Linked DNA regions of Arabidopsis thaliana. The protein of the gene in region 3 interacts with the protein of the main gene of each other region in a biochemical or structural test. Each region holds a gene or a part of one and is shown on either strand. Other genes may lie near its edges. The genes, in order: JAZ6, JAZ11 and AT5G45360.

Region 1 (11,065 bases), on a different chromosome or scaffold from region 3:
ATACAAATTTAAACAGAAAAACAAGAAGTGGCAAAGTGAAAAAAAAACAAAAAAAAAATCCAAAATTGGTGAATCTGCATGAATCTAACGGTTGGAATTGATCGACGGTGAAGCTAAGTTTCTATGGTGATAAAGTCGTCGTTAGAATCTTCAATAGTCAGTTCATCAACGACTTCAGTCATATTCGGTCTCTGATCTGGATCTTCTCTGGTACATCTCACACCGATCCTTAAAACGTTCTCAATTTCCTCCTCCATAATTTTATCTTCAGCGGCGGCGGTTACCACCATCGGATGAAGCAGATCCATCCAACCACCTTGTTCCAATGCGGAGCCTAACCACTCAACCAAATTTGCCCCACCGGCTCTGTTCAAACCAGCGTATTGAGACGGGAATTTTCCGGTCAAGATCTCAAGTACCACGACTCCGAAACTAAATACATCAGATTTCGCAGAGACGGTTCCATCACGATCCGCTTCTGGAGATTTAAACGCGACGAGAGATTGAGATTGAGCGTCGGGATTGATTAGTTTTTGAAGTCCAAATTCGGAGATGAGTGGCTCGCCGTCTTCCGCAAGAAATATATTGCTTGATTTTAGGTTTCCATGTGGTAGGTTTAGAAACCCTAATTCTCTATGGAGATACCACATTCCCCTAGCGATTCCTTGAATGATTTTGAGTCGAGAAGGCCAATCTAATTGAAATTCTTCGTGGTCTCCGTGTAATCGGTGAAGCAAATTCAAATTAGGAACAAATTCGAACACTAGCAATTTCTCGTCTTGTCGGAAATGGTAAGCTAGGGGCGTTAATACGTTCTTGTGTTGCAAGCTTCCTAGTTTCCTAATCTCCTTGTCGAATACGTCAACACTCACTTGATTCATTACCGTCACACGTTTCACCACTACCGTGACACCGTTTGAAAGAACCGCTTTGTAGGCAGATCCCACGCCTCCGCTACTTCTTGGACGGTTGCTTCCACCGCCGGGATTACCAAGCACGTGAGCCGCCGCTTTCATCAAGTCTGATAAACGGAAAACACCTTTTTCCTTGTTCACCATAACTAGGTCTGATGTCCCCGCCACTCCTTTATTCAATTCGCCGGACCGACTGCTCCTACTCTGCCTTGAGCTATTTGATCCCTCAACAGTTACCTGTCTCAATCATATCAAAATTTTGTGTGATTTTATAGGTTTAAAAACTCTCATTTGAAAATGTGAAAATTACGTGTAGTGGAAGTAACCTGAATTTGTTGGTCGTCACTATTGTCTTGTTCAGAGGTACGACGTGCCTTCTTCCTCCGTCTCTTCTTTTTCTTTTTTCTGAAAGCTAAGGAGACAAGGACGACGATAAGAAGCACTCCTAATGTGCTGAATGCTAGAAAGTATTTGCTCTTATTTGCATCTTTCATTGTTCCTTCTATCGTTATGGATGCAGTCGAATTTTTTGGTTGTGGGCATGGAGTGGATAGCTTGGCACCGCAAAGGCCAGAATTCCCCGCAAAAGTCTTCGCGTCGAATTTCAACAAACCGGGAGGTATTTCTCCGGTTAGTTGGTTGTTTGATAGATCAACAATAGCTAAAGTCGTTTGTGTGAAATTAGGTATACTCCCGATGAATTGATTATTTTCGAGGCGTAACTCAATGAGATTTGGCAATGTAGTTGCCAATGAGATAGGAATGAGACCAGAGAAATGGTTGTTTGACAGCCAAGCTTTCTTTAGCGACACCATTGTTTCGAAATAATCAGAAGGAATGTTACCAGAGAATCGATTTCCTGATATGTAAAGCGACTTCAGAGCGGTTAATCTGTTAAACTCGGGTATGTCACCAGAGAAAGAGTTGTTCATTATGCTTATGGTGCGTAAAGATGGTAGGTCTTTTAACGGAGCGACATCAACTTTTCCTGATAGACCCATTTGTTCGATCTGGAGGCCAAAGACAGAGTTTTTGTTGCAGAGTAATCCGATCCATCGTTGGCTTGCTCCACAAGGTTCTGACTCTGGTGTCCAAGAATCAAGAGACTTGGTGTTGTTTAAGGACTTCTTGAATTTCAATAAAGATTCTGATTCGGTTATCGAATTCGCAGAAAGTGCTGTTAGAGATAGCACGATTGGCCAGATTAGCCAAGCCACGGCCATTTACTTAACCGGAGCTAGGCCGCCGGGAGTTTCAAGCAACTCTTTTTTTTTTTTGATTAATCAAAGTAGTTTTTTTTTTTTTTTTGGTGATTCGATTTACTAATTTTTCTGTATTCCTTGTCTTGTTTCTCGCTTTGTCTCTGTTTTCTCTGTCTTTTGTTTTTCTTTGTCATTTGTGATCCATTGGATGAGAGGAACTTAGGAGCTTATGGCGCGAATGTTCGTTGAAAGAGTCAAGAAGATTGAGAAAAGCAAGAGCGAATAAAAAATAAGCTAAAGATATGCATTTTTGGTTGGCCCATATGAATAATGTTGATTTTAGTTTCCAAGCCCAAACTTGGACAAAGTTGATTATCGTTTCTATAAATAATTTTTAAACCGTAGAAGTGACTTAATTACAAGTATAAGTGTTGTAAGAACAACTATCAAGTAAAAGTGTTGTAAAACCAACTATCAAAACTATATTTTTTACGTGTTACGTGTGAAAACTATTAAGTGATACTCCAAATTTTGCCATACTACAAGATAACGCATGTAAATAAATTTTATGGGAAAAACAAATGGTTTTGGCATTAGGACCAAGAGCATATAATCTTAAAACTCGTACAACATTTGGTTCAGTTCTAGCTAACGTGACCTTTTAAGTGGACCACTTCATCATTTGGATTTTCCTCCTGATGCTTAGTTATGTCGGATTTCTAATTTACTCACTATAGCATGACAAAAAATGTATCCCTATGCCGAAAAAAGAAAGAAATTTGATAAATGTAAAACAAATTGACGCCACCAAATGTAATCATCAATCAGTTTTAGCTTTTACAGTTCCTAACTATTTCCAAATATGAGAATATCGAAAGAATAGTTATAAGTTTCTTATGTATCATGAGTAAAATACTCTAATACTCAATTACTCATGATATTATATGCAACTAAACAAAATATTTGTCTAATCTATTAATTTTCTGTAGACCATGACATGTATTCTAATGATTTGACTTAGTGTCCTTGTTGTATTTCTATCCGGTTTCAATTATGCAATTGTTGAAAAAATGTTATTCCTGTTCCGCATGTAATGGATACTTATTAATATGCGATAATCTTTAGGCACATATGTTATTGTCATAGTACAAGAGGAGCATGTGAAGAAGCTGCAACATTTTGGTGTTCACATCCAAAGTATCTGTCGGTGTCAAAGAACCAATTTGTTTTAGTCATTGTTGTAAAACGGACCTACATTCGTAGTCGTTACCCCTAAATTTTAAACAAATTTTATGTTTAGTATTGTCATACGTCAATGCAAATGAGTTGTATAATCTTTCAATATTGTCTTCTAATTTTATTTTATTTTCTGATAAGTACCATTTTATTTATGAAGATAACGACTGTACAGAGAATTCCCACCACAAGCTCAAGCTGCAAGACCAAACTTACCCGAAGACAACCTGTTACAGAGACACGCTAGCTCGTAACACTAGATAGAAAGGAAATCTTACCCAGCTCAAAGATTAAGTCTGAAGCACACCTAACCCAAAACTGTTGACACCATCTTGATTATGTCCATATATGAACTTAGGTCTCAAAACAACAACTATTTATTTGATAAATGTTGATATACTCTATTGCTTAAAGGAGAGTCCAACTTCGAGTGGTGACCGGAAGGTTTCGCCGTTGCCTTTTCTTTTTTGCCGTTAACGTTGGTTTGGTAGTCTTAGTAGAATCTTCTCACAATCTTGATTTTTGCATATCAAATCTGTTAGAATATGACATTCCCTTATTTTGGACATGATCAAATATGTGATCGAAACCCAACTTGCGCTTCCAACAATGTAGATAATCTTCATGTGAAATAGCGAATATTATTTGGTCTTTTGTATGTATTAGAAAATGACAATGGATCTATATTGTGTAATTAAATACACACATACATGTGTATATATTAGACTCAAGTTGTTGTTCAACTCTTGAAATCATATGATATTGAAGAGTCTTCAAAGTTCAAAGTATTATGTTCTCATTTTGCAAGTTGCGATAAATAATTCAATAAAAATGATTTTTTCCCTTGGCGCGATCGTCTACGACATTTTGTTTTAAATTCTTTTTTGGTACTCTTTGGCATTGCCTCTTATTCAAATAAAATTCAACGCTCGACTTCATTGAACAAAACGATTAAAAGATTTTATTATTATTATTGTTATAGAAATAATATTTAACTGAGCAAGTAACAAAATTCATATTAGGACTAAACAGAAATCGTTAACCTTTTACCAACATACAAAACCACAAATTCTAATATTAATTACACTCAGTTTTTGTAATTAAAAACAGAAAAGAAAATTAGGCCTATGAAGTATGAACGCTATAATATCCTTTAGCAAAGAGGGAAAAAAAACGCAAATCATGCATGAAATAAGGTTGGTACCGCCAAGATTCCGACACGTGTTGACATCCTAAACGCACATAACAATACTTCACGTGTCCTTAAACTTTGTCGGGGATAAGTAATTGACACCATTCATCGATAAATATCCACTCACAAGTCGTACTGTTGCTAATGGATCCCACATATTAAATTCGTATTAGCCATCGCAGCCGACGCGAGACTTAACTCCGTCAGAACTCCGTTAGACTATAGCGTTTGCAAATGCCCTCATTTACGCCCTTTAATAACGAATATCCTAACCACCACTAAACGAATTACCTCAGAAGGGTAAATTAGTATTTAACAGAAACTCTTGGGACCCGAATGAATTAAATGGGTTAACGCCTTTATGTAATGTCGCCGTCAACTTACAACAGTTTCTTCACGGCTTGTGCAATGAAAACGTGCCGGAACTTGTAACGAACATTGTAGTTTGATTTTTGTAATCAACCATAGGAATAAATCATTTTTTCCGCATATAATTTATTTCCCTATTTCTATTCGTGACAAAACATTTGAGGATATAGGAAATTAATAGCCTATAATATGTTTGACCATAAAAAGAATTTCTTCTTCTTGAACCATCATAAGAAAAATGTGTGTTTAGTCTATTGATCAGTTTTGTGTTCAAAAAAAAAAAAAAAATGTCTATCGATCAGTTAGGTGTAAAAAAAAAAGTTACAAAACTCGTGACAAAAACATTCTATATTGGACACACATCACTGTCACTTCAGACTAAATAAAAAAAAAGAACACGTTATTTCGTTTTCTTTATTTATTCGGGAGAGGTTAAAAGCCACAGAAACTTATTGGCTAGAATTGGTTATTTATAACAACAACACATGAGCAAAAAGCTCAAAACATCTACATACTCTTTGGAATCCTCGATTTTTTGTACGTGTAAAGAAGTCACACAAGAAAATCTTGGGTTGTTGTAATCTTCATCACACTAGTATGTCAACGGGACAAGCGCCGGAGAAGTCCAATTTTTCTCAGAGATGTAGTCTGCTCAGCCGGTACTTGAAGGAGAAGGGAAGTTTTGGGAATATTAATATGGGGTTGGCTCGAAAATCCGATCTTGAACTCGCCGGAAAATTCGATCTCAAAGGTATTTATTTATTTTTCCCTATCTATTCCGACGGCCGCCGCCTATAAAGACCAAAGTTTATATCATATACTTTTAGTATCCTGCTTCGTTGATTATTAGCATAAAGTTTAACTATATATTTTTTTTGTTGAAATGCAAAATTTTAAATCATTTTTTTCTTTTCTTTTCTTTAAACTTAAGCATGGTATTATTTTGGACAGCTTAAGTATATTAAAGTTAGAGATTCTGTGAAGTTTTTTAAAAAACGTAATAAACATGTAATTTGATTTTGATAAATTTTAATCGGTTTGCAATTTCTGTTCTAATTTGTTTTAGGACAACAAAATGTGATTAAGAAGGTAGAGACCTCAGAAACTAGACCGTTCAAGTTGATTCAGAAGTTTTCTATTGGTGAGGCCTCTACTTCTACCGAAGACAAAGCCATATATATTGATCTCAGGTACTGTACACACAAACTTCATATGTATTCGAACTCCTAAAGTGTTTGTTTTCACATTTTGTAGCAATTGAATTAGAGAAAGAACTACCGGTTATAGATGTATGGACTATGGAGTTTGACTAATTGTAAAAATGGGTTTGATTTGATTTTAGTGAACCGGCAAAAGTAGCACCGGAGTCTGGAAATTCACAGTTGACCATATTCTTTGGAGGAAAAGTTATGGTTTTCAACGAGTTTCCTGAAGACAAAGCTAAGGAGATAATGGAAGTAGCTAAAGAAGCGAATCATGTTGCTGTTGATTCTAAGAACAGTCAGAGTCACATGAATCTTGACAAAAGCAACGTGGTGATTCCCGATCTTAACGAGCCAACGAGTTCCGGGAACAATGAAGATCAAGAAACTGGGCAGCAACATCAGGTTGTGGAACGCATTGCAAGAAGAGCTTCTCTTCATCGATTCTTTGCTAAACGAAAAGACAGGTAAACTAAACTCCGAAACTGTTTTGTGCTTGGTTATGCTTTTTCTAGGCCGCTCGTCAAAATGTATGCATAGATTAGGATCAAAGTTTCTTAAAAAAGTTATATGTAAAAATAGCTAATAATTACCATATTAAGACTTATTCGAGTTATTCTAGGAATCCCACATCGGATTAGAAGCGTATTACCAATCAAGTTTAAGTTGAACATTCATGAAATTGAACATAGGGTGGTCCTAGTATGTTTATGAATTATGATTCCTAGAGTAAGATTTCGAGATGTGACTCAAGTGTCATCATTTATAAAGAACATGTAAAAAATCTTACAAGTTACAATGAAATTCGAGATGGGACCTAGAGTAGTATATAAGAGATATGAGTCCATCATCTATGTGTCCTTGATCTAGGAAAATTATTAGTAAAATGTCGAGAAATTTCTAGTTAAAAAACACTAACTAAGAGTTCTTTGTAAATCAAAACTTCAATATCTACTTTGTCTTAAATGTTGATTAATTGTTTTGATTTCAGGGCTGTGGCTAGAGCTCCATATCAAGTGAACCAACACGGTAGTCATCTTCCTCCCAAGCCAGAGATGGTTGCTCCATCGATAAAGTCAGGCCAATCGTCGCAACACATTGCAACTCCTCCAAAACCAAAGGCCCATAACCATATGCCGATGGAGGTGGACAAGAAAGAAGGACAATCTTCCAAAAACCTTGAACTCAAGCTTTAGGGCGTATAAAATGCACGATCGAGTTCACGTTTCTAGTTTTCACTTATTTAGGATTTGAACCCAAATACCCTTTTATATTTTCTTCCATTACTTTTGACCAATTTAAGTTATTTATAGTACTGTATTACGTAGCTAGTATTTATATTTCAAAACATACATATTTTGATACTTGTTTTTTAGATTCTTTAATTAAAATTGTCATCTGGATTACCCTTTATCGAAATTTTTTAATCACCTGATATAATCTCACCAGTGATGGATTTGCGTTGTTAGTAATTTTTCTAAGTGGCAAAAGTATATTAACCTATAATAGGTTTCAAAGATATACATATAATGTTTCTATCAAAGATATTAGTATAATATTTTACCACATGATCGAAATCTCACCAGTTATGGATTTGCATTGAATGTTCTAGCGATTGGGCTGGACCGTCTCAGGAACCCAACCTTAATGAAAAAACATCGTCTCATTGATTTTAGGTCGTTAAGTCTGTTTTGCCCTTGTCTTATCCCGTAATTACGAAATTAGCCTTCTACCATTTCCTCTGTCTGCTTCTCTCTTGCCGTTTTCTAAAACCCTAAAAATTTCTGTTGAACCCCAAACATTGAAGTTTATCTTTCTTTTTCATTGTTCGATCTCAAAGCACAGAGATTGCTTAAACCTAACTGTCTCAGTTCTTTTAAAAACAGTCATCTCTCACAAAACTCTCTTAACCCTCTTCATATGCTTTGAGAAAAAATGTCAAAGATAAAGCCTTTGAGTAAATCATCGCAGGACTTGAGTCTTCTCACATCTGATATCGCATCATTCGCTTCTTCTATTGGCTTAGCTTCTGCTCTTCCTTCTTCGGGTTTCAACGACACTGATTTCCGAAAACCAGCTAAATCCAAAACCCAGAAACGGAAAAAGCCTAAGAAGGATCAGCAACACAAGGATGAAGATGAAGAAGGAGAGCCAAAATCGAACATTGGGAATGAAAAGGGAAAAGATTTTGGAGCGAGGAAGCAAAACAAAGATGCACCGGTGAAGCAAACGTTACAACCGAAGCCAAAGCCTGGATTCTTATCGATTGATGATGAGAGTACTGGGTACAAGAAAAAACGTTTCGATGAATTCAAGAGTTTGCCTAAGTTACCATTGGTGAAAGCGAGTTTATTGAGCTCTGAATGGTACAACGATGCAGCTGAGTTTGAGGAGAAGGTGTTTGGTGGCCGGAAAGTGGCGGTGGCGAATAAGGAGGATTTTAAGGGTGTGGTGGAGAAGAAGAGAGAATTAGGAGAGAGATTGATGTGGCAATACGCAGAGGACTTTGCAACTTCGAAAGGAAAAGGTGGAGATATGAAGATGGTGATTTCTGCTCAAAAGTCTGGGACAGTTGCTGATAAAATCACTGCCTTTGAGATTATGGTTGGAGAGAATCCCATTGCAAATATGAGATCTCTTGATGCCTTATTGGGTATGTTTCTGGTTTTGTTTTTCAATGGTGAAATCCTCTGTAGCATTTTGTTGATGTCTTGTTCACATTATCTACTCTGTTCATTGCAGGAATGGTGACCTCAAAGGTTGGAAAAAGATTTGCATTTAAGGGTCTTAAGGCTCTATCAGAAATTTTGATCAGGCACATTTTTCTTACTCACACAATGAGCTATGGATTTATGTGTCAGTCTTGCATCTTTTTCTCATTGACTGAGGTTTTTTAAATTCTTTCTTCAGGTTATTACCTGATCGCAAGCTGAAGTCACTTTTACAGCGACCTTTAAACATCATTCCGGAAAATAAGGATGGTTACTCGCTTTTGCTGTTTTGGTACTGGGAGGATTGCTTGAAACAGAGGTAAAGATCTCAAATCATGCCATGAGGGATGTGTTTAATCACACTATGTCAAAGATCTGTGTCTTCTATCCGTAATTGTTCTGGGTCGATGATTCGTTTAACAGCTTAGCATGCTGACTTTGTAGGTATGAGCGCTTCGTCACAGCCCTTGATGAATCATCTAAAGATATGCTTCCAGAGCTGAAGGACAAGGCTTTAAAGGTATATATCCTATCACCACTCTGCTCGTGCTAGCTTGTTTAGTAGCACTGGTCTCCAGGTTTTGTAAGATTCTTGATGAGCTTTAATATTAGAGATTTGAGTATCATCAATGTAATCCTTCTCTGGATGATGCATAACGGCATGGTCCGTAGTTTTCTTTTAGCTACAGTGAGTTTTTTTGCTTGGTAACGTGATTCGGATCTTTCCTTCAGTAAATTTTTTCTTGTTTGGTTTCAGACAATATATTTCATGTTGACAAGCAAATCAGAACAAGAGCGGAAATTGCTAGTGTCATTGGTGAACAAGGTATTGTTTGTTGTTCATTCAAATATTTGTATCTAATTTAAATTTCTCAGTTGTGATCCCTTTAATTGTTCCATGGATTACTTTATATTATAGTTGGGGGATCCTCAAAACAAGAGTGCATCTAATGCTGATTATCATCTGACAAATCTTTTGGCTGATCATCCTAACATGAAGGTACGGCTATTCAACCTTCCTATGCCAGTTTCAGTATTTCGTTTATTAATTGGTTGTTTGGATTCTTCTCTTTGGCTCATGTAATGTTATTTTTTTTCAGGCTGTGGTTATAGATGAAGTTGACTCCTTTCTCTTCCGACCCCATCTTGGGTTACGAGCAAAGTATCATGCTGTATGTCCATTGTTCTCTCTAATTATGTTCACGAGAACCATTTTTCTTTATTTTCTTGCTCTTCTTTTTAAACTGATTCACGCTTATTGTCGTCTAAAGTATTGTCTTTGATTTGAATGGGAAACAATTTTACTAAGACTTTAGAAAAGAAAAGAAGCATAAACTTATCCATGTTTAGCTTTCTAAACAATGCTCATTAATCTTTGTAAATTTCACAGGTTAACTTTTTGAGTCAGATCCGATTGAGCCACAAAGGAGAGGATCCAAAGGTGGCAAAACGTCTAATTGATGTATATTTTGCCCTGTTTAAGGTAACTGGCATTGAAGTCAATAAATTTAACATTTCCTTATGATCTTCTTAAAATTTAGTCCCTCCACTTCCACCTTACTTTCATGATCTCAGAGACTTCTGCTACCCCTTAGTGTTTTCTTTTGGGGTGGCGTTTGTCATAAGTCATAACATGAAATCTTTCACTAGTTGGATATTCACTACAGAAGTGTGTTTGCATTCTTGTAGGTTTTAACTACAGAAGCAAATAGGAAACAAGGTGCAGATGACAAAGGAGCCGCTGATAAGAAAAAATCCAACCCAAAGGACACAAAGCAAGAAGTGTCAACTGATTCACCTATTGAGTTGGATTCAAGAATTCTATCAGCTCTACTGACGGTTAGTCTGGATGTGTTTTTTTGGTGTACATGATGTATGTAATTTTAAAGTATTGAGACTTCACAGATCAACTTATGCTTTAGTACTCCGTAAGTGCAGGGAGTTAACAGAGCTTTTCCATATGTTTCCACTGACGAGGCTGATGATATAATTGAATCCCAGACGCCAGTGCTTTTCAAACTGGTAACCATTTAAAGCTTCATTATAGAAGTTTAGTTTCATAGTTACAACCGAAAATTGATATAGAAAATGGGATTTTGAATATGTAGGTACATTCGGCGAATTTCAATGTAGGAGTCCAATCACTGATGCTTCTTGACAAGATCTCATCCAAGAATAAGATTGTTAGTGACAGGTTTTACCGTGCATTGTACTCGAAACTTCTACTCCCCTCCGCAAT
Region 2 (11,282 bases), on a different chromosome or scaffold from region 3:
TATGGCTAGAAAAAATGGGATTTCTTTGCTGTGGCCTTGGAGTCTTTTTATAGACAAAAGTCAAGAATCAGGTGGCTAAAAGAAGGGGATGCTAATACTCGGTTCTTCCGTAGAGCTTTCCTTGCTCATCAGGCTAGAAATCTTATCAAGCAGTTGCGTGGTGACAATGATATTTTGGTTGTTAACGTGGATCAAGTCAAAGATATGATTGTGGCGTATTACTCTCACCTTCTCGGCTCTGAAAATGACTCAACTATTCCTTTATCTATTAAAGTTATAAAGGTCTTACATCCTTTCCGGTGTGATGAGTCTCTGGCTACTCTGTTGTCTGCTATTCCTACTGATGAAGAGATTATAGGGTCACTGTTCTCAATGCCTAAGAACAAGGCGCTCAATCCAGATGGTTTTCCTGTGGATTTTTTTTGGGATTCGTGGGCTGTGGTGAACGATACTGTTATTTTTGCTGTGAGGGAATTCTTTCTTACATCTATTGAAGAAGTTCAATGCAACTGCCATTACTCTTATTCTTAAGGAATGTGGGACAGACAAATTATCTAAGTTCAGACCGGTTTCTTGTTGGAATACAATTTACAAAATTTACTAGAATCATTTCCAAGCGCCTCAAGCTGTTCAGAACTCAAGCAGTTCAAGGGAATCAAGTGGGTTTTATAAAAGGAAGGATGCTTTGTGAAAATGTGTTGTTAGCTTCTGAACTAGTTGAAGGGTTACATATTGAAGGTGAAGTAACTAAGGGCTGCTTACAAATTGATCTTACCAAGGCTTATGACAATGTCAGCAGGGAGTTTCTAATCAACATCCTTGTGGCTTTGGATCTTCCTCCTATTTTTATAAACTTGATCCGGGTTTGCATATCTACTCCTTATATAGTATTGCTTTTAATGGTGAGTTGATTGGGTTTTTTCAGGGTAAAAAAGAAATCAGACAAGGAGATCCCATGTCTTCTCATATATTTGTGCATATCATGAATATTCTAGCAAATTCACTGGATAAGGGCGCAGTTGAAGGCCGTTTCATGCTTCACCCTTAGTGTTCAGCCCCTCTCATTACTCATCTCAGCTTTGCCGATGATGTGTTAGTCTTCTTTGACGGTTCTAAGGATTCTGTTGCTGGGATCATATCCATTCTTGATGAGTTCAGAATTGGTTCTCGTCTTGGAATAAACAGGCAAAAAACGGCTTGGATGGTGGTGACTTGCATAATGTGGCCACTATCTCTGAGCGTTTTGGTGTTTCTCAGGGTGTTCTTCCGGTTCGTTATCTGGGGATTCCCCTAATGATCTAGAAGATGAAAAAACAAGATTATCAACCTCTTCTTGACAGAATTAATAAAAAGTTCTCCTCTTGGACTGTCAGACATCTCTCCTTTGCTGGTCGGCTTCGGTTGCTGAAATCTGTGATCTTTGCTACCATCAACTTCTTGGTGTCAGTTTTCCTCCTTCCAAACCAATGTCTCCAAAAGATTGAGCAGATGTGTAATGCCTTTCTTTGGAAAGGTCTGCCTACCTACGCTAGAGGTGCAAAGATCACTTGGAACGTAGTATGTACGCCTAAGCAAAGTGATGGCTTTGGGTTGAAAAGGTTGATCTCTTGGAATACGGTTTTCGTTTTGAAACTTATCTGGTTGTTTTTCACTAAGGCTAGTTCTCTTTGGGTTTCTTGGATGAGGATTAATCTTATTGGTAACCGGAATTTTTGGGATCTGAATCCTTACTACTCAGGGAGTTGGATTTGAAAACGTTTGTGCAAACTTTGTAACCTGGCGAGACCTTTTTTGGTGTGTGAGGTGGGTTAAGGAATTACAACAAGTTTTTGGCATGATAACTGGATGGGGTTGTGGCCGCTGATTGATCTCTCGGGTCCATTAGGACCTCAAGTTATCGGGTTGAACAAAAAAGCGGTTGTTAGAGACGCAACATCTTGCAATGGATGGAAGATCATGACTTCTCGAAGTCGTAATCCCATCATTTCGACGATCAAAAACGCCCTGCCATATTGGATTGATATCATTGATTGTGAAGTGGATGATGTCTATCTTTGGAAGCTCGAGCATCATCCACCCACACCATTGTTCTCCTCTACTCTAACTTGGCTCGCTTTGCACCCATCTACCTGTCCGGTTCTGTGGCATAAATCTATATGGTTTAAGGACTATATTCCAAATCATGCGTTCATCAATTGGGTTGTGGCTTGGAACAGGGCTTCACACTAGGGACCGAATGCGGAGTTGGGGAATTTCTATTCCCACGGATTGTGTCCTTTGCTCTGGAAGTTCGGAGTCTAGAGATCACCTCTTCTTTGAGTGTGACTTTAGTCTGGCGGTCTGGAGTCACTTCAGGAATAGAACAAGATTATCTCCTCCGGTCCCCTTCATGGCCTGCCTCTTATGGATTAATTCGGCTTCGTGTGATGCTTATCTCTGTCTCATCATCAAGCTAGTGTTCCAAGCCTCTATTTATCTCTTATGGAAAGAACGCAATCGTCAGATCCATTCTCATGCTCCCCGTACCTCTGCTTTGATCATCGAGGAACTTAAGGTTATTCTATGGTCAAAGCTTGATCCCATTTCTCGGCGTAGTGAATTTGATTCTCCAGGATCCTCTCTGCTCTCTACTTGGTTTCGTTTCTTCAGCTAAGGGCAGTTCCTTCGTTCTCTGTTCTTCTTTTTGGGCTGTTTGGGTCTTGTTGGGCCATTCAAGTTTAGTTTCGGGCCTGCGTGACTTGGATTTGGGCTTCTTGCCGTGTATATTTTTCGGGCTTGCGTGCCTTTTTTTGGACTCTTTGTTTTGTAACTTGCTTTTATCTTTAATGGAAATTTAAACCTAAAAAAAAAGAAAAGATTGGGTGGGCAAATGCATGTTACCTACTGATGTTACCGAGTATCTCAAGTACTAACAACAGCTCTATGTTTCTCAAAAGGAAAGTCTCAAAGCGACGACGTATTATTTTCACGCACGTTTTAAATTCTTGATGCCTTTTTTTGTTTTATTCTTTTTTCTTAAGTTACACATTTAAACAAACAAAAAAGAACAAAATGAGAAAGAAATAGATTGTTTTCGAGCTTTCTCTCTCTTCTCTCTCTAAAAAATCTTAGAGAAAAGGGAAAGTTTTCTCTTTTGTTTCGCTGGCCTGATGGCATTCCGACGTTTATGTGTTTTAATATAGTTGGGTTTTATATCTAACATCTCTGTCGTTTTTAGCAGTGATGGCTGGCTCTTGCCTGACAGCGTTCGAATTCCATGACCATCGTTGGCCGGATCTACTTTTCTTATCAGTGTATCTGATGTTTTTTTTTTTTTTTTTCTTTCAATAATCTCATAGATCCTCTATTGGAAATTTAGGTGTTTTTTTGCTTAAAGGTGTTTATTATCCAATTTGATCTTTTGAGTTTGCGATTTGCAGGAATCAATCCAAAGAGTTACATCTTAAGTTGCAGAAAAGAAAACAATTTCATTGCACACTAATATTGCTTTTAGCTGTAAATCTCTATTTTGATGTTCGATTGGTTTATGAACAATGAAACCTAGAAGAATCAAGCTTGCTTTTATAATCAATGATGATTTTTCTCACTGGAATCGATCTCAGATGGCGAATGATCTACAATTGAGGCTATTTGTCTAATTGATCTATGGACACGAGTGTTTTCCTTTTTGTTTTTAGGTGTTGCTGAAAAGCTCCATCGGCTTAATATCTACGTTGATGTTCTTTGGAGTTCGGGAGTCATTGCCCTTGTGAAGATCTTTTCTTTACAGATTTGATGATGTAGTTGGTAGGATTCTCTAGTTAAAAACCTGTGGACTTATTTCTTGAAGCTCTGACGGTTTTCGGTAGTTTTGGAGTTCCCTTACGCTTCGTACCATATCGGCTATGAGCGGCGAACGGCGACAACATCTACTTCAACTTTACTTCATAGGCTCACACATGGTTTTGTGTTGGATTTGTTATATTTCTTAGTTCCTTAAAGGGGTATCTTTATGGATTGGACTTTTTAAGTTGGGTCTCCGCTTATAAGCTGAATTGTTGGTGAAGTGGAAGCTTCCACTGTTGTACCTTTTACGACATAGAGTTTTAAATAGAAGAGAAAATTCCCAAAAAAAACTTCAACTATTAAAATTTGCCAAAAAAACCTCAACTTTTTCGGTTGTCAAAAAACTCAAACTAATTTATTAGTGACAAATAAAACCCAAACTAGAAATATTGGCAGATTATACATACGCTCTAAAAACAAATTATAGTTTTATCCTTAAAAAATTAATTCTTTTTTTTTTGAAACGAAAAGAAATTTCTTATTTACTTTGTATTTTTTTAGTTTATACGTTTTTGCCTTTTTGGAAATTATCATAGAAAAATGATATGAGTGTCTCATTTTTAATTCTCTTTTCATATATTTTTACTTTTTAGATTTTCAAACTTTAAAAACCAAATCGTTTCTCTATTTCTTTTTTTTTTGCTTATTTCTTTCTAATTTTTGGTTCCTCAATATCAAAATGATTCAATGTTCTTCGACTAATTTACATATTTTGATTTTTTCATCATAATTATATAGTTAGCTTTGTGTTAATATATCTTATTTAATTTATTTTAGCAATACGATAACGGCGGTATGCATGTACTAAAAAGGATGCGTAAAGAGTATTAAGTTTTTCACATCGAACAAAATTGTCCACTATTTTATTTTTTTAAATAGTTGTCTATATTACAAGAACAAATGAAAATAAATAGGTATTATTAGATAAGTAGTTTTTTTTTTTGGTAAGGCATTATTACTTATTAGATAAGTAGTTAGATATATAAAATAATCAAATAGTTGAGGTTTTTTTGGAATATTTCTGAGAAAAACAAAAAGAAAACAAAATTGATTGAATAATGAATACACCGAATAACGAACGTTGCGTAGAGAAGAGAACCAATTCCCAATCAAACGGAGAAGACAGATATTATTCACAGAGAGGCTCATGGCTGAGGTAAACGGAGATTTCCCCGTTCCTAGTTTCGCCGACGGGACCGGTTCTGTTTCCGCCGGACTTGACTTGCTCGTTGAGAGATCGATTCACGAAGCTAGGTATGTATCACTAGTAACTGGAATCAATTTGAATCGTTAATTCTCATTTCTCTTTATCTGTCTTTGTGTTTGAAGTTTTTTCTTAGCCTATAGTTCTGTGATTTGTTAGTTCTTAGTACACTATAGGAGCGTGAGCAATTGACGAGACTTGGATCTATATGAATTGTTAAATTAGCAGATCAATTTGGGAAACTCAAGAGGTTTAATTTCAAACTCTTGTTTCAAGGTCCACAGAGCCAGATGCTTCAACTCAACTTACTATTATCTTTGGTGGGAGTTGTAGAGTCTTCAATGGTGTCCCTGCACAAAAGGTTTGGTCCATCTAGCTTTGAGTACATACATTCTGATTTTGTTTATGTTGGTTGCATCAGAGTTTCTAATTGTATTGGTGATCAATGCTTAATAGGTTCAAGAAATCATTCGCATCGCTTTTGCTGGTAAACAGACGAAGAATGTGACCGGTATCAATCCAGCACTGAACAGAGCTCTTTCTTTCTCAACTGTAGCTGGTAAGCAATTGCTTCATTCGGTTACTGTAAGCATTATCTACGGAGTTACGGACTATTAATCCCTGTTTGTCTCAGATCTTCCAATTGCTAGGAGACGTTCGCTTCAAAGATTTCTCGAGAAGAGACGGGACAGGTAGTTAGATATTCAGTGTTTGCTTTATTAACATATTGATAGTTCTGGAAGTGTTAGTGTGTATGAATCTGATTTGTTAGTATGTATTAGTTTGTGACGTCAAATATTGTTCTTGCATTTAGGAATTTTCATGTGTAGGTAGGTTGTTGAAGCTTAAGCAAATGAAGAGACTGGATCTATGTGAATGTTAATTTGTATACATTGACTGGTTTCGGAAACTGAGATAGTCTTTTAGTTTTTTTTCTTACAAGTGTTTAAGCTTTTATTCTCATGTATTATTCTACTTCTATATCATATTTGGCTGACTTATGGCCACCAGATAATTGTGTATTTCTTAGTGATCATGCCTCACAAATACATTAGATGTTGTTGCCCATTCTTTAGTATCGGTTTTATGAGCTTGAATTTGAACTAGGCTTGTGTGTTTGATTTTGGTACCGTTGAATGCAAAAATAGCCTTCTATCTACTGTTAGATGACATCATCAGATGATTTAAATTTAGTAGGTTGTTTGAACTGATGTATTGATGGGACTGAGGTTAGTTGATAGCCTAAGCGGCTGTAATATTGTAGTGGAATCACTATTTTGTTCTTCTCCCTTTTGCATCAATAGGGTCTTAAAATTTGGGTGGATTATTATTATCTTCCATCATTCATAACTAGCTCTTGTTTCTTCTATTGAAGGTCCACGAAGCCAGATGGTTCAATGATCCTTCCAAGTCAACTAACCATTATTTTTGGTGGGAGTTTTAGCGTATTTGATGGTATTCCAGCTGAAAAGGTTTGGTCCATCCAAGTTTTGAGTACATTCGTATTTCGTTTTTGTTGGGAAGCAGTTGCATGAGATTTCTTGTTCTCTTGGTGATCACACTTAATAGGTTCAAGAAATTCTGCATATCGCTGCTGCAGCTAAAGCCACTGAGACAATTAATTTGACCAGTATAAATCCAGCATTAAAGAGAGCTATTTCATTCTCAAACGCATCAACAGTAGCTTGCGTATCGACAGCAGGTAAGGACTTGCTACATTGGATTACCGTAAACGTTATATAGTCCGAGTATGGAAAACCCCATGAGCTTTATGTAAGATGCATGTTTATCTCAGATGTGCCAATTGCTAGGAGACGTTCACTTCAAAGATTTTTTGAGAAAAGACGGCATCGGTAGGCATATCTGCAGTGCTTGTTTTATAAACATATACTCTCATCTTTCTCCATCACTCACCTATGAGTTTGACCATTAGATTTCATCTAATAGTAACTTGGACCCTCTTTATTTTCAGATTTGTCCACACGAAGCCTTACTCTGCTACGACTTCGGAAGCAGACAAAAATGAAACCAGCCCCATTGTGACATGAGCTCCAAGACTGTAAGCTAACCTCAAACCTTACTTTCGAAGCAACTCAGTATCACAGTTATCTTTGACAAGATTAACACAGCTCATATATAAGCCTTCCGTTGTTGTACGATAATCATCTGCCTATGTTTCTTAGACAAAACACAAAATTGTTTTCCATGTTTGTGATTTGATGTGTTTATCATCTCGCACCTCCTCTTTGAGGAAGATGATTTCTTTTTCTTCACAATGTATGTTGATGCTGTATGATAAGGTCTCAGAGCTATATAAGAACACAAGAGTACTCAAAAATGACCATGAAAGACTTAGTGTCCTTATAAGCAAATCACGACCAAGAAACATACAGAGAAATCATCAAATACTAACCGGAGAGATTAGTAGGGACCTCAGATCAAAATTTTCAGGTCTGGTTAGGCATGTGATTATTACCAGAACCAAAATTTTCAAACCAAGCCAATCCAGTTTTTGGTCATTTCAATTTAGGGTCGGTCACTAAAAGTGAACAGGTCGGCATAATTTTTTAGTACATATATTTAACATGTGCCCAAGTTATGACAAACGATGAAACATAACATATTTATTATAAATGATTTATACATCATAACTCATAAAAACATCAAAATTATGAAATATTTTGGTAGCGCTACCATAACCACTCAATCATCCGACTGAAATCATCAAAATAAAAAAATATTTTCTAACTTTTTTTATATTTACATAAATATATCTACAAAATGATCCCGTATAAACTTGTAATAAATTATATATGTGCATTTTTCAAGACCAAATCTCTAAGATCAAAGACTAATGCTACCACATCATTCAACGAAACAATGCAAATAAATTTTGGGATAACTTTAACTTTGATCATCTTTTAAAGTATTTAAGGATTTTACATACAAATTTGTAATTTAAAGGGTTCACAAACGGCAACAAAAAACAAAAAAAGGTTTACTAACGAATTTGTAATTTTAAGAAGATCAAAATATAAGAAATATAAATAATATCATAAATTTTAAAGGGTTATAATGCAAATGTTGAACTTTAGGAAACCAGCTGACCTCCTTTAATCGTCTTTGGATGTCTATGCGGCGGACCCATAAATACTTTTTATGGGTCCATCAAATATAATTTAAAAATAATAAGTAATTAAAAACAACCAAAAACTAAAAAAAAAAAAACTCATCTCTTTAAGTTTACATATGAATTTGTAATTTTAAAAAGGAAAAAACAAAATAATTTTAAAGGTCTACAATACAAATATAGAATTTTAGAGGGGTCGTCTGACCCCTTTTAATCTTTTTGGGTCTGTCGCGTGGGCAGACCCATAAATACTTTATATCAGATCAAAATATAACTTAAAATAATTAGTAATTTAAAAAAAAAAACTAACAAGTTTTAAAAAATATTATTAGTTTAAAATATACCGCAAATTAGGTTCAATATTTATGGGTGAATCACATTAAAAGGCTAAAAGTATCAAAACACAAAGTAGAAGAAAATATATAATAAAACTTAAAAGGTTTACATCAAATTTGTAATTTTAAAAGGGTCAAAACATATGAAATATAAATAATATCATAAATTTTAAAGGGCTATAACACAAATGTAGATTTTTAGTTGGGTCAGCTGGCCTTCTTTAATCTTTGCTCTTTGGATCTGCCTATGCGGCGGACCCATAAATACTTTTTACTAGGTCAAAATATAATTTAAATAATTAATAGTTTAAAAAGATTAAAAAACTAAAAAAAATATTCATTTGCTTATTATATACCATAGAGAATGATTCCCAATTTTTTTTTTGTCGGCAATGATTCCCAATTTTAAATACAGAGAATGATATAATCATAATTTATTTATTTAAATATTCATACATTGACAATAACTGAGTACATCCATGATTCTTTATTTTTGAATCATAATGTCCTTTCTTCGATTATTATTCGCTTACAAACAACACTCTTATAAAATATTTTCATAGAGGAATTAAGCACGATCATTGCTCGGAAAGTTTTGTATACTAGTTTCATCACTACCGATATATAGATAATTCAAGATAAATAACATTCATATTTAGGGGTGTCAAAGTGGGTCAAGATTTATGGATCAACTCAACTCAACGCAACTTTTGAACCCTAATGAGTTGAAATTTTTGACTCAAATGAGTTGATGGGTCAAATGAGTTATTGGGTCAATTGGTTTGATGAATAAAATGAGTTGGGTTGTAATGATTAATGGTTTCAATGGTTTACCCAATTAACCCATTAACCCATAACTCATTTAACCCTAAACTCATTTGATTATGAGTTGAGTTGAGTTGGGTAACCCATTTTGACACCCCATATAACCAAAAGAATAAAAAAAAAAGATAAGTTGGAGAGTAGACAGTTTTTGCTAAAATAATTTGAAAAGTAGACATTTTTTTTTAGAGATAGGAGGCATATGTAGTTTTATCTCTCCTCTCTAATAGAACTCCCTCTCAAATACAACTTTTAGTAAAGTACTATTTTACCCTTCTGTTGTTTTGATGAAATAAAATGGACCTCATTAAAAGCAGCCCAATATCATCTTCAATTTCGAATTGTTCATGGGCTTGACATCAACTAAACCCCATATTTTCTTAAGTCATTAGAACCAAACACACTCATAAACCCTCGTCGTCGACATCTTCATCTGTACGGTAAAGACCTCGTCGTTGTCAAAAAAGGATAAACCCTCGTCGTTGCCAAAATCATAGAGACATTGTCAATTTCATACCAGATGGAAGGTATGTTTATCATAAAACGCTTTAAAGTTTTTGAATTTTTGCTGTCAGCCAACTAATAACTTTGACTCTGTTTTCGTTTTTTTTCAGGGGACGAATCATGCGTCTCCATGGTCGGCCGCTGGATTTGCTACTCGAATGGTTGGTGGGACTTCAAAATTGATAAAACTAGGCCAGGAAAGGGGAAAATGCTTAATTATTTCCTAAAATATCCAAAATGCGCAGATTAATTCCCCAATTACCTCAGACGCATAATAAACTCCCAATTATACTTTGACGTAGCAAAGTTAGACTTCATTATTGTCAACGTTAAATATTAAACATGTCGTTAAATATGTCGATTCTCATCTTCTTCTTCTCCAAATCAAAAACCCTAAATTCCTAAAGCTTTATCTTTAAACTCGAAACAATCAACTGTAAATCTACTTTCCAAACTTATCTTCCCTAAATCAAACATCAAAACCTAATCCGATTGGCAAAACGAAAGTTTTAATTTTGCAAACTGAACCATGACAGGAAGAAGACGAAAGCTTCCAATACGAAGGTATGCACAAAACGATAGGTGGAATCAAAATTGTTTCTAATATTAAATCCATTGATGTTTCTTTTACTTGTGGTTTCTGATTTTATTGTAGTTCAATACCCGTTCCTTATTTTGCTTTTATCAATTAGTTTACGGTGTTCATGTTATTAGTTTCTATGGTTGTTCGGCTATGATGTAGATATTTTTATTTTTATAGGACACTAAATGAAGAAACAGTTGAATCTGATGGTGAACGAAGGGTGCATGAAGAAGAGATAGAATCTGATGCTAATGTAGGTGTGGAGGAAGATTTTTGTGAAGTGATTGTCGAAGATATGGGTGGATATAAAGAGACAGAACCTGATTTGGCTGAGTTTGAGGTAGCGGATAATCACTATGTTGATGTAGAGATCTGTGAAAACTTAGAAGACCATTTTGGAGACATTGCATGTGGAGATGAAAATGGTGATTCTAATGATAATGGGGATGATATTCGGGATGATGAAAATATTCCAGATCCATTATCAGATTCTGATATAGAGGAGAGCAGACCATTCACTTATGGATTAGGTCCTAAAGAACTTTTAGGATTAGGGAAGACATTCAATAATGCAGATGAATTCAAGTATGCACTTCTCAGGTATTCTCTAAAAACGAAATATGATATCAAGATGTACAAATCATCATCTAACAGGCTTGGTTCAAAGTGCACACATTGGATAGAAGAAAAGTGCCCATGGAGAGTTTACTGCTCTTTTGAAAAAGGTAGAAACAAGCTGATGGTAAAGGTTTTCATAAACGAGCATATTTGTGTAAGATCAGGTTATATTAGGCTTTTGAAGAGTGGAGCTATTGCACAACTGTTTGAGGAAAGAGTTAGAGTTAATCCCAAAATCAAATCACAAGAGATGGTAGACGA
Region 3 (11,031 bases):
ACGACGTTTGTCGCCAAACAAAACACCAAAAACACTATATGTGTTGCGGTTCCCCAACTAATTTTATCAAAAACATACAAAACAAAGTAAAATACTAACCTAAAATTAATGCTCGAGCAATTTGGTCTACTGTTTCGGAAATGTTATCAAAAAATCAAAATTTATTGGCCCTTATACAAAAGAACAAAAACAAAATAAAACTTTCTTTTTTTGGTTAAAGGGCTCAAACAAAACAAAACTTATTCTGTTTAGTTTGGTCCACAAAATATATTTTTTGAAAACTAACCCAAAATAAATAAATTTAAGATATACTGATAAAATTAGTATTATAAATTTTAATTTTATTTAATAATCTTGACTAAGCAAATGAAAATAATTGTTGGTTTGAGGTTAGTTCGGTTTTTACGTACCGAGCCTTCACGATTTCGCAGACCGTGTGAGCATTAGGAGCCTTTCTTTTTATCTCAATCGCCATCACACCAAACAACAGCACCTACTTTGTTCATCAATCATCATCGATTATTCATTAATTATGCATACAGGTTATAGAAACAAAAATTTATATTGTATAGTTTATGTTTCGGAATTAACCTGTATGGTGGCTCCACTAGCGTACCAAAACGGTCCACTAACCCCATACTGCCATGCTACGTTTGAACTTTGCAGTATGGTCGCAGCCCATGTCCACTATTCACCCATCGACCAACATAAATCAAATTAATAACTTTAAGTAAAATTCTACAGTTAAATTATACGTCAAAGATTATGGAGTGTTTTATAACTTTATATCATCAATTATAATTATTAGAATTATAGTTTTACCTGTGATACAATGACACTTGCAATAAGTCCTGTCTTAACGTTTCTTCCCGCTGTATTGAACCATTCCGATGTATGACGAGCTCCCACATATCGTTTTTCTAACCATACCTTCATTCATTTAGGACAATATACATATTATTTATCATGGTGGACTTATTAGGACAATATACATATTATTTATAATATGATTTATAAAATTTACACACGGTCGCCACAATTTTCATACTTAATAGGCCAAAAAAGATTCTATCGAAACTTGATATATGAATTAATTTGATTAATATCTATTTTAATAAGAATGAAAATTTTAGAACAAAAAAACAAAAAAGAATAATCAACGTCTACTAAACAATGAAAATTAGCATCCTTTGTTTTATTTGTTAGCATAAACCATATGACTACTATTTTTTGTGGTCACGAGCAAATCATAGAAGTCGTCTTGCTTTTCATAAGAAAGTATTTGTAATTCAGAAACGGAAACTAACCAAAAAAGATGTGAAGACGGCAAAGAAAGCACCAAAACCAAGAATCACGGCGTAGCCAACGCCTTGATCGAGCACCGTCGTGCCTCCGAAGAAGCTGCTCTGCCTCTGGCATCCGCCGTCACCATCGTAATATTTGGTCGAGAAATCGAAAGGAGGACATGTAGCCATTCTTCCTCTTCTTCTTTACGTTTTGATTGGAAAAGTGAATTTTCTCATGGAATTTGTAGGGAGTGATAGTTGAAAGATTCTTCCCTCTTGTATATACTATTAGAAAGAATCTTCAACTTGAAAGAATCTTGATTTAGCAAACAAAGGAATCTAATAAACTTAGAAAAAGAAATTGAATCTCTTCTATGGTTAAATTACCATTCCCAAGAGTTGTCATGACGTATAAGATACTATCCACACAAATTAGAAATTGTTACCATTATTGATGATGAAATGGGAGAAAGTCAATAATTTCGTACTTCAATAAGTCAATGATTTTTGTTTATTTGCTATTAATGGTTTCCACTTGGACAATGATGTCATGAGTGATCTAAGTACTCGTAAGAAACTTATAAGTTATACCTTTCATTTTTTTACTAGGTCAGTACCTACTTGTTAATACTTTATGCACACACATAGTTTGGCAATAACTACTAAAACATCTATCTTGGTTACTCGAAATGCGTGGAATATGTTAGATATAGATAATATATATTGATTCTTGATTCTCATGAGCTCGTCTATGTGTGTATGTCGCAAAGACATACCACTCTGTTGGAATTATGGAATAGACACTATCTTCACAAATTCAAGATAATATGTTGCTAAAACTTTTGTTGTCTTCTTCCCAGCTTATATCACACTGACATGTAAGTATGTAACATGTCCGTTGACATATATAATGTTTTCCTTTTTGTTAATCGTGCTTGTCTTTAGGTACAATGACTTTTTAAGTGTTCTTGATTCCTTTTATCTAAGATTGAATTTAAAATATACGCTTCTTTGTCACCCAACTAAAAAACGTATTGAAACAACCAATTCTTAAAATAAAAATAGAGATTTGTTTCCATAGTTGAACTTGCATTACCAAAAAAGAGGCGAAGTAATTATTTTGAATTATTTACCGTTTAAAGAATCAATGTTTGAACTCGAAAAAATTGTATGATTTGTCAAGTTTTTGTCTGATATTAACTACGTACAACGGTACAAGTATCCTTTCTTTACCTTTTCTTATTTATTTACCAGTCTCATCTCTGTAAATGAAAGGTTCCGAGATTCTTACATCACTAGAAGAAGCAATCTCATTCCCAGCTGATGTTGTTTGTTGCTCTCTGTAAGATGCCCAAGTAACCATATAAAGCCCGCAAATGATGAGGATTCCACCCAAAACGCTGCGGAGAGAACAAAAACCAAGGTGTTTATATGATCCAATACAAGAAGACAGAAAGGTTTGTATGTGTCTGGATGAATCAAAGATACAAAGAAGAGTGCATAAAATTTAAAAACCTTCCAAGATAGATCGGGCTGCCGAGGAAAATTGTCGATAAAAAGGCCGATGTTGCAGGCTGAAGAGGATTGTATAGGGAAACCAAAGCAGCTCCAAGAATTTTATTGGACCAAGTCAAGAGTCCATAGTTTAGAGCTGAGGCAAACACTCCCTGAGGAATAAAAACCGAAAAGAAAACAATTAAACACAAACTAGTAAGATGAATCCGTATGTACAGAATCGAGTTCCAATCTTTTTGAGTTCAAGTTCAAATGATTTGAGCTCAAGCTCCAAAACACAAACACACCCAAATAAACATATTACATCTCGGTTGTGAAAACTTACTGCGAATATAACAGCAAGAACCTCAGATTGTGTTAAGCTCCAATCTTTAGGCTCTCTAACAAACAAGATAGCTGTTGTGATCATTATTGATGCACCGAAGAAGTATGAATACGCAGCAACCGAAAGGTAGGCAGGATACTTCTTCAAAACCGGTGCTTGGACAGCGAGAAAAGCAGCCATACACATACAGTTTCCAATCAAACATAAAACTCCAATGTGCCATTGATCAAACCCAAGACCAAGAAAACTAGAGACTAACCACCCATTAAGCTCTGGTTGACTTCTATCAATAATTACACTTTTCACTGAATCTGCTGCATCTTTACCTCCAAACAAGGCTGGACCACGAAACAAAGCCATCGCTATAGCACCCGAAACACAAACAAGAGTACCTCCAACTTTCGTTTGGCCCTCGACTTTCAACAAGTTCACTTTTTCTGTACTGTATACAAAGAAGAAGACCATCAAAAGATTGAAACTTTATATTACAAATTTTCACATTTTACAGTAATGTTGAGGAAACTCATACTCACCCCATCAAGACAGCCAAGAGAAATGTAAAGACAGGGATTGATGGTTGTATAGCAGCAGCATAAGTTGGATTCGTGTAAGATAAACCCATAAGAAATAGTAACTGGTTCCCAAATATCCTATCAAGATTGAGATTGAATGTTGTTATTAGAATCTTTCATTAGCATGATTCAAAAGATAAAGAGATACAAGCTGATTACTTTACCCTGCTAAACCAAGAAAGAAGAGTGAAAAGAAGATGCTTCTATTCATAGGAGGTCTGATCGTTCTACAAGAAATTAAAAGAGCAAATCTTTATCAAAAGACAAATCCAAGTCACACAAAATTGCAATCCATCATTAAACAATAGAACCAGAATTAACAAAGAAAAACAACCCTAATTCCAATTCCAGAGAGATCAAACTATTTGTCTGATTTTGCCGCATATAAACTCATCAAAACAATCAGAAACAGAGACTTCAGAGACTTTAGCAATTCAAGCAAAAGGATAAAGAAACAGAGAGATTTTGAGAAGAAGATAAAAAGGGACCTTTCACGGAAAAAAGCGAGAGGTGCGAGAATGGAGAGAGCAAGAAGATCGCGAAAGACACAAAAAACGAGCTGATTTACACCAACGTTAAGAGCTACTTTCGTAACCACATGGTATCCTCCATTTATGACCTGAACCAATGTCATTGCAGAGTGAGCCATTCGTGTTTCTCTCTCCGTCGCATCGCCGCCGTTTAGGATCGCCGGAGCTGCCATTTTTCTTCTCTACCTCCGAATCGAGGAAGAAGAGAAGGAACACCTGTTGACTAAAGAAATTGAGATCCTTTGATTTGCTCTGTAAATTGTAATTCTAACTTCTCTGTTTTTTCGTTCCAAAAAAAAAAAAAACTTCTCTGGTCATTGTAGTCGTTGGTCTTCTTCAATTTGTTAACTATGATTTTTTGTTAAGTTGAGGCAAAAAAAAATTTGCCAGATTATTTTCTTAAATCTTATACACATTGAAGCCTAACAGATTAACACATTTGTTAAATATGCTCATATATCCTACTTAAAAAATATGAAAATTTTCCACAAAAAATGGTGTAATATAAAAATTCGGTTTACTCGGGTTAAACGGTTCGGTTTGTTCGGTTTTCCGGGTTTTTCGGTTTTCAAAAATTCTGCCGAATTGAACCGAACAAAAATTCGGTTCGGTTCGGTTCGGTACTCGGTTTTTTCGGTTCGGTTACTAGGATTTATAATTCGCCGAAATTAAACCGAATTTTTTTTAATCGGTTAACCTAATCAGTTTAGATCACAATATTAGGCATAGTGGGCTGTTTTTAAAGCCCATATCGGCTTTTGACATTTAAAAACCCAAAACTTTTTTTTTGAGGGACAAGTAAAGTCAAAAAGCCCATGACGGTTTTTAACTTTTCAAAACCCAAATTCTTTTTTTCCAGGGACAAGAAAAGCCCATCACACCCATCTAGGGTTTTGTTTTGTTTTATTTTTTGGAAATGACGGCCGTCAAAGAAAAACAAGGGTGAGATGAAGAAGAAGAACATTGAAAACAGAGAAAATAGATTTGTATTGTGCGGTGGTGAGAAAAGATGTAGAGAACCATGAAATCATTGCCAGAGAAGATCGATGTCGCGGTGGCTTAATAGAATATTTCTGCGAACCTAAAAGGTGGAGAAGAAGAACGAAGACAAGGAGAAGAAGGAGGAATAAGGAAGAATTAGAAGGTTAAAAGATAAAAATGGGTTAGAGATGAGGAGAAATAAAGGTGTTCGTGAAGAGGAGAGTTTAGAAAACAAAGAAGATGAAGTGATAGATCTAGGATTTTTCTGTTTTAAAAGGTATCTCCCCAATCCGAACAAAACCGATCGGTTTTGATGAACCGAACCGAAAAACCCGAAAACCGAAATCAATTTAAAATTCTACCGAACGATTTACAACAGAAAATCGGTTTGAAACCGAAAACCGAAATCGTCGGTTTGTTCGGTTCGGTTTAAACGGGTTATGCCGAACTTCCAGGCCTAATTTTTACAGTGTAATACTGAAGTTGGTAAAATATGCCTTTATTTATGTCGATTAGTGGATCTAGTAATATAACATTTCCTTAAATGAAAAAACTCCTTAAAAAGTAGTTGCTGATCCAATAACAAATGTTCTGTTTTAAGAAAATTTAATTATAGTAGTAGTTCGAACGTCGTTAACTCGTAATAATAATTCAGAAAAATGTTGTTATTTAATCACGTTTAGAAAGCTAATTTGTATTAATGACGCTAACGACAAGGAGGAGGGTTAGTGTTATGGGCTTATTTATTAATATATGGCCCATTTAGGTTATTAGCCCATTTATCAAAATTATTCGGCCCGAGGTCGTCTCCAATCTCACGCCACCGATTCCAAACGCCAACCCTCTCGAGTCTTGTCTCTCTCCAATCCTTTCCTTGGCCGCATAAACGCAACCATCGTCGTCGGAGCTTTGATCTTCACCGACTGAAAAGTATGTCTGTTTCCGATGAGGAAGATGAGTGTTTCGCTCGATTCCTCGAATCAGAAGTCTCATCGGTATAAAAATTTCTCCGTTTATTCAAATTTTCGATTTCATTTAGGGTTTAGTAATTTCTTCTCCATCAATCTTTGAATTTTGTAGCTGAATCTGAAATTCTGTCGAGATTTTCCCGTTCCCCTAGTTTTTTTTTTCATTTTTGATAACTTCAGTTCCTTGATCTGTAAATTTGATCTTATATGCATACATTTGAAATTTTTGAAAAATCACATAATTTTTGTTCATGTTCTTCGATTGATGTCCATTGTGATTTTGCTCTTGTTCAGCGTTGTCCTGTGAAAGGTTAGATTATTTATTGATGCTTTGGTTTTTGTAGGTAGAGGATAAAGAAGAAACGAAAGAACCTGAGGCAAAACGGCAACGTATTGAGAAAGGCGAAACAAAGGCTCTAGAGAAGGATGAAGATCAAAAGGAAAATGGTAACAAAGATAAAACTGATGCAAAGAGAATAGAGAGTGGAGTTTTCACCAATGTTCCTACTGAGCTGTTTCGTCATATTCTCAAGTTCTTATCTTCGGAGGTATATACTATATAGTTCAAACTCGAACTTTATTGATGTTTGAGGATTGCTTTTAAACTAAATTGTTTGAATGTCATTACAGGATCTTGTATCATGCTCCTTGGTTTGTAAATTTCTCAATTTTGCTGCGGCTGATGAATCCTTATGGCGTCGCCTGTAAGCCTCTTCTTGTACCCCTTATTGTCGTTGATAATCTTGTTTTCAAAATCAATACTTTGTATTCAAAAACGATGTGATGATCTTATTGGTTGTTTTTTGTTTATATGCAGGTACTGTATCCGGTGGGGTCTAACTCTTCCAAGTAGAAAGTTACGTGAATCTGCTTGGAAGAAGCTTTATATTGATGTGAGTTTCTCCTTGGTTTTTCGTATAAACTTGTTAGATGTTTCCAAGTAGTATTACATTGCTGAAGAATATACAGTGTTAGTTTGCGTTGCTAGTAGAAGTCAGATCATATATATTTTTAAGTGATTCCTTTCTCTTGTCGAATTTTAGCGTGATGAACAGGACATGATTGAACTTGTCAGAACCTGTCCGTCGGATTTCAAGGAGTATTACGTACATATGCAAGCAGCAAAGAGAAGCCAAGCACCTCTTCCGTCCCAGGTAACTATTTATAATTATCTGTTTATGTTTTAGGACAAATCATCACGTGAAGAATTTTCTCATGTTCTTGTTTGCAATTTTTAGATGGTGGATGACCGGATAATTCTTGACAATACTGTACTTGAACAAGTTTCTCTATGGAAGAAAAGCAAAGGACTTACTGATAAGGCTGTCACTGGCCATATTTGTTTGGGAACCAAATGTTCATACCATCAGATTGACGACGTGTTCATATGCAAAGAGACGGGAAATGTTCATGGTATGTAATGAAATGCTGTAAAATGTAACTTTGTTACTGTGTTTTACTCTAAACTTACATAGTTTTTATGGTCTTTATAACAGTATGCGATGATAACTGCAAGGAAGTAATACTGAGTCCAGAGGGTGACCTCATGGTGTGTACTATCTCAGGAGTTTGTTCTGATACTTTACTTGTACAAACTGAGCCAGACGCAGATGGGTGTTATGAGGAAGAAGCTGAACTAGAAGCTGAAGTATTCACAGATAAAAGCCGATTAGGTACACATCTATCTATCTCTTTCTCATATCTCTCACACACTTCCTTTTCCAAATATTATTTTTATTTTCCAACATAAGTGAACTATTTGCGTCTTCTTTTCATCGCAGCCCGAGCTTTTGAACTTGGCTACAACTGCGATGATGAGCAGGAACTGGAACGTACCCTGAGGTTCTGCTGAGCAAAAGTCTCGACCTTTTGTCCAATTTCATAAGGCCTACTTTCTGTAAGGTCTTCTCTCTCTCTCTCTCTCTGACCTGATTCTGCCTGGGTTCTGTGGAGTTGAAATGAATCAAATGTAGCTCTTGTTTTAATCAGTCAGCTTTGTAACGTATACATATATATCATTGTATGTGATTAACATTGTCCTTAAAAAGTGTTACACCTAGTAATTACGTTCCAACTTTATCAGTAAACCTATTGGTAACTAGTAATTTGCTCCCGATATTGGTTTTCTCATTAATTTTTATAGCCATTCTTTGTTCATTTAAACCATATTACAAATTTGTCCTGGTTAGAACTGATTATGATGACAAATCGATGATTAGTTCAAAATGAAGTTTATAGCAATATATTCTAATAACTATACATCAATTATCACCACTGATGTGTTTGAATGAAAAATGAATTGATAATCTTAATAAATGTTTGATTTTATAGATAAGTATAAAGTATGAATGGATTTAGAAAATTTTAGTATTTAGTGAGATAAGCATAAGCAAAACTAGAAAAATGAAATTATTATTAAATAAATTCATTAATACACATTGGCAATGTGACATTGCCTAAAATCAAATATGTACTAATTCAATTAATGTTAATAAGAATTTTTTGGATTCGATTCTCTTGCGAAAGTGCAAATTAAAAGACATTCTTATCTCCTACGTAAACAGAATCACGCGTCCATTGCGCGTTCTCGCAACGCTAAAATATTTACGTTGGAAAATATTCTCATAATTCTCTCCTTTGCCCCCACAGTTTAATATATTTCATAAACACCCCCACGAGAAATTAAAAACCGTTCCAAATTTGAAAAAATACAACAAACAATTCATGAAAATATTCAATCTATAAGCAAAACATTGGTAGTGTTACATGTGTCGTCCTTCGTGCTGAAAATTTGGATAGCATTGTTAATTATGACAACGTAAGTGTAGCCTGTGATTCATAGTAAAATATAAGGACTAAAAATAAAAATATATCTTTTTTGGAAATCGTACCGCGTAAGAAACATGTATAAATACCTATAAGGTCTTATTTTTTTCTCTTCCAATTTCGTTTCGACATATTTCGCGATTCGTCTAAGGTAAAAAAAAACTCATCTTTTTTTCTTTTAGATCGTTAATTTTTGATCAGCGATTCGCTCTTCTGATCTGTGTTCTTTAAGCTTGTCTTCTCTCTTGATTCGATCTGCTGAAAACCTAGAAATTTTTGATTTTTTTGTTTGTTTTGCTCCATGTGTATGGGTATATTTACGATTTTAACAAAACAAAAATATGAATTGAGGTTTTTTATTTAGCGAATTGGGTTTTAATTGTTCACATTCGTTTGGCTCTCTCGAGGTGAGTGATAAAGTATAGAACTTTCTTATGCTTAGGATCTTAAATTCGAGTTCTTTGATTTACCTGTCATGTGTTATTGATTGATCTCATTTATATTGTGTCTGCTTGATGTTTAAAGCTTGGTGTATGCAATTTGATTGGGTTTACTGGAGATTGATCTGTGACCTAATCAATGAGTGATAACATTGCTGGTTCATCTGATTTCTCATCTGGTGTGTCTGCTCGATTCCCTGAAGAAAGTTTGAAACTCAGGCTTGGTTTGTGCAGTTTGATTGATTTATCTCATTACTTGACTCTGGTGTACTTGATTCTTTGATGAAAGCTTGAAGTTAATGTTTGGTTTGTGCAATATGATTGGGATTAACTGCATTTGATCTCTGACCAAAATCAGTGATTAATTACATTGCTTGGTTATCTCATTACTTGAGTTTGGTGTTCCTGCATGATCCCCTGAGCTTGAAGTTCATGCTTGGTTTGTCCAATTGTGACCTAAATTGATGTTTTCTTGTGGTATCTTTTCGTAGGTTTTGTTACTGATTGAGAAAACATGGGAGGTGACAATGATAATGACAAAGACAAAGGGTTTCATGGGTATCCTCCCGCTGGATACCCACCCCCTGGGGCTTATCCACCCGCTGGATACCCACAACAAGGTTACCCTCCACCACCCGGTGCTTACCCGCCTGCAGGTTATCCTCCGGGTGCCTACCCACCTGCTCCTGGTGGTTATCCTCCCGCCCCTGGTTATGGTGGTTATCCTCCAGCTCCTGGTTATGGAGGTTATCCTCCTGCACCTGGTCATGGTGGTTACCCTCCTGCTGGCTATCCTGCTCATCACTCAGGTACTGTGTTTCTTTTGCTAATGGTTTTTTTCTCCCATGTAGTTTGCCAGTTAAGTGTTGTAATGGTCACTGTACAAACAAGTTAAAATAGGAGAAGTTGTTTATATGTTGTTTTGTGATTGTCTGTATGTTCATTGCTAAAATCTGAGATTTAGTATCATATTTGGTGTTAAATGTCACTTTGGTTTCTTTATTCATGCTGTTATTTATACTTGTTTCAGGACACGCAGGAGGAATTGGGGGTATGATTGCAGGTGCTGCAGCTGCCTATGGAGCTCACCACGTAGCTCATAGCTCTCACGGTCCTTACGGACATGCTGCATATGGTCACGGTTTTGGCCATGGTCATGGCTATGGCTATGGTCATGGTCATGGTAAGTTCAAGCATGGGAAGCACGGGAAGTTCAAGCATGGGAAGCATGGAATGTTTGGAGGAGGCAAGTTCAAGAAGTGGAAGTGATCTAGTTAATACCTTTTGTGAATCTGTCTGGACTGACCAATGTTTCAAATAAGCCCTAAACATTATATAAGTTGACTTTCGTCGGTTAGATTGCTGGTTCGAGTTGGAATAATTGAAACTTAATTAGTATCAAATCTTATTGTGTACTTTAAAGCTATCGTTGGCTTTATAATGACAGATTCTGGTTTCGGTGTGTTGTTTTAAGATTTTTGTATATACTGTTTTTTACATTGCTTAAGCTTATAGAAGTCATGATTATGATTAATTGTTATCTTAAACAGACAAATCACTTAATTATTCTCTATACTATATACAAATA

Evidence for each region.
Region 1: the proteins of AT5G45360 (region 3) and JAZ6 form a complex in vitro, tested with the Arabidopsis thaliana proteins (one study listed by BioGRID).
Region 2: the proteins of AT5G45360 (region 3) and JAZ11 form a complex in vitro, tested with the Arabidopsis thaliana proteins (one study listed by BioGRID).

What each region holds. Positions count from the first base shown.
Region 1 is NC_003070.9:27,270,582-27,281,646, reverse strand, and holds JAZ6 (jasmonate-zim-domain protein 6), read left to right. Parts: upstream 1-5,084; 5' UTR 5,085-5,510; coding exon 5,511-5,664; intron 5,665-5,979; coding exon 5,980-6,103; intron 6,104-6,255; coding exon 6,256-6,582; coding exon of another isoform or gene 6,583-6,586; exon of another isoform or gene 6,587-7,106; coding exon 7,107-7,311; 3' UTR 7,312-7,679; downstream 7,680-11,065. Other genes in the region: AT1G72460 (Leucine-rich repeat protein kinase family protein), read right to left, coding at 114-1,151, 1,241-2,137; EDA25 (CCAAT-binding factor), read left to right, coding at 8,051-8,768, 8,858-8,930, 9,026-9,145, 9,271-9,346, 9,584-9,652, 9,746-9,826, 9,927-9,998, 10,217-10,309 and 3 more. UniProt on the Arabidopsis thaliana protein: Repressor of jasmonate responses.
Region 2 is NC_003074.8:15,362,698-15,373,979, forward strand, and holds JAZ11 (jasmonate-zim-domain protein 11), read left to right. Parts: upstream 1-4,848; 5' UTR 4,849-4,972; coding exon 4,973-5,079; intron 5,080-5,305; coding exon 5,306-5,390; intron 5,391-5,485; coding exon 5,486-5,588; intron 5,589-5,663; coding exon 5,664-5,721; intron 5,722-6,404; coding exon 6,405-6,501; intron 6,502-6,598; coding exon 6,599-6,731; intron 6,732-6,824; coding exon 6,825-6,882; intron 6,883-7,001; coding exon 7,002-7,077; 3' UTR 7,078-7,460; downstream 7,461-11,282. UniProt on the Arabidopsis thaliana protein: Repressor of jasmonate (JA) responses. Targets MYC2, MYC3 and MYC4 that are JA-dependent transcription activators.
Region 3 is NC_003076.8:18,381,781-18,392,811, reverse strand, and holds AT5G45360 (F-box family protein), read left to right. Parts: upstream 1-5,940; 5' UTR 5,941-6,141; coding exon 6,142-6,204; intron 6,205-6,521; coding exon 6,522-6,725; intron 6,726-6,807; coding exon 6,808-6,881; intron 6,882-6,994; coding exon 6,995-7,070; intron 7,071-7,220; coding exon 7,221-7,331; intron 7,332-7,415; coding exon 7,416-7,590; intron 7,591-7,673; coding exon 7,674-7,850; intron 7,851-7,958; coding exon 7,959-8,029; 3' UTR 8,030-8,323; downstream 8,324-11,031. Other genes in the region: DUR3 (urea-proton symporter DEGRADATION OF UREA 3 (DUR3)), read right to left, coding at 1-57, 411-493, 592-687, 823-930, 1,308-1,475; UMAMIT1 (nodulin MtN21 /EamA-like transporter family protein), read right to left, coding at 2,530-2,686, 2,802-2,953, 3,127-3,568, 3,660-3,776, 3,863-3,925, 4,187-4,401; AT5G45350 (proline-rich family protein), read left to right, coding at 9,958-10,252, 10,474-10,712.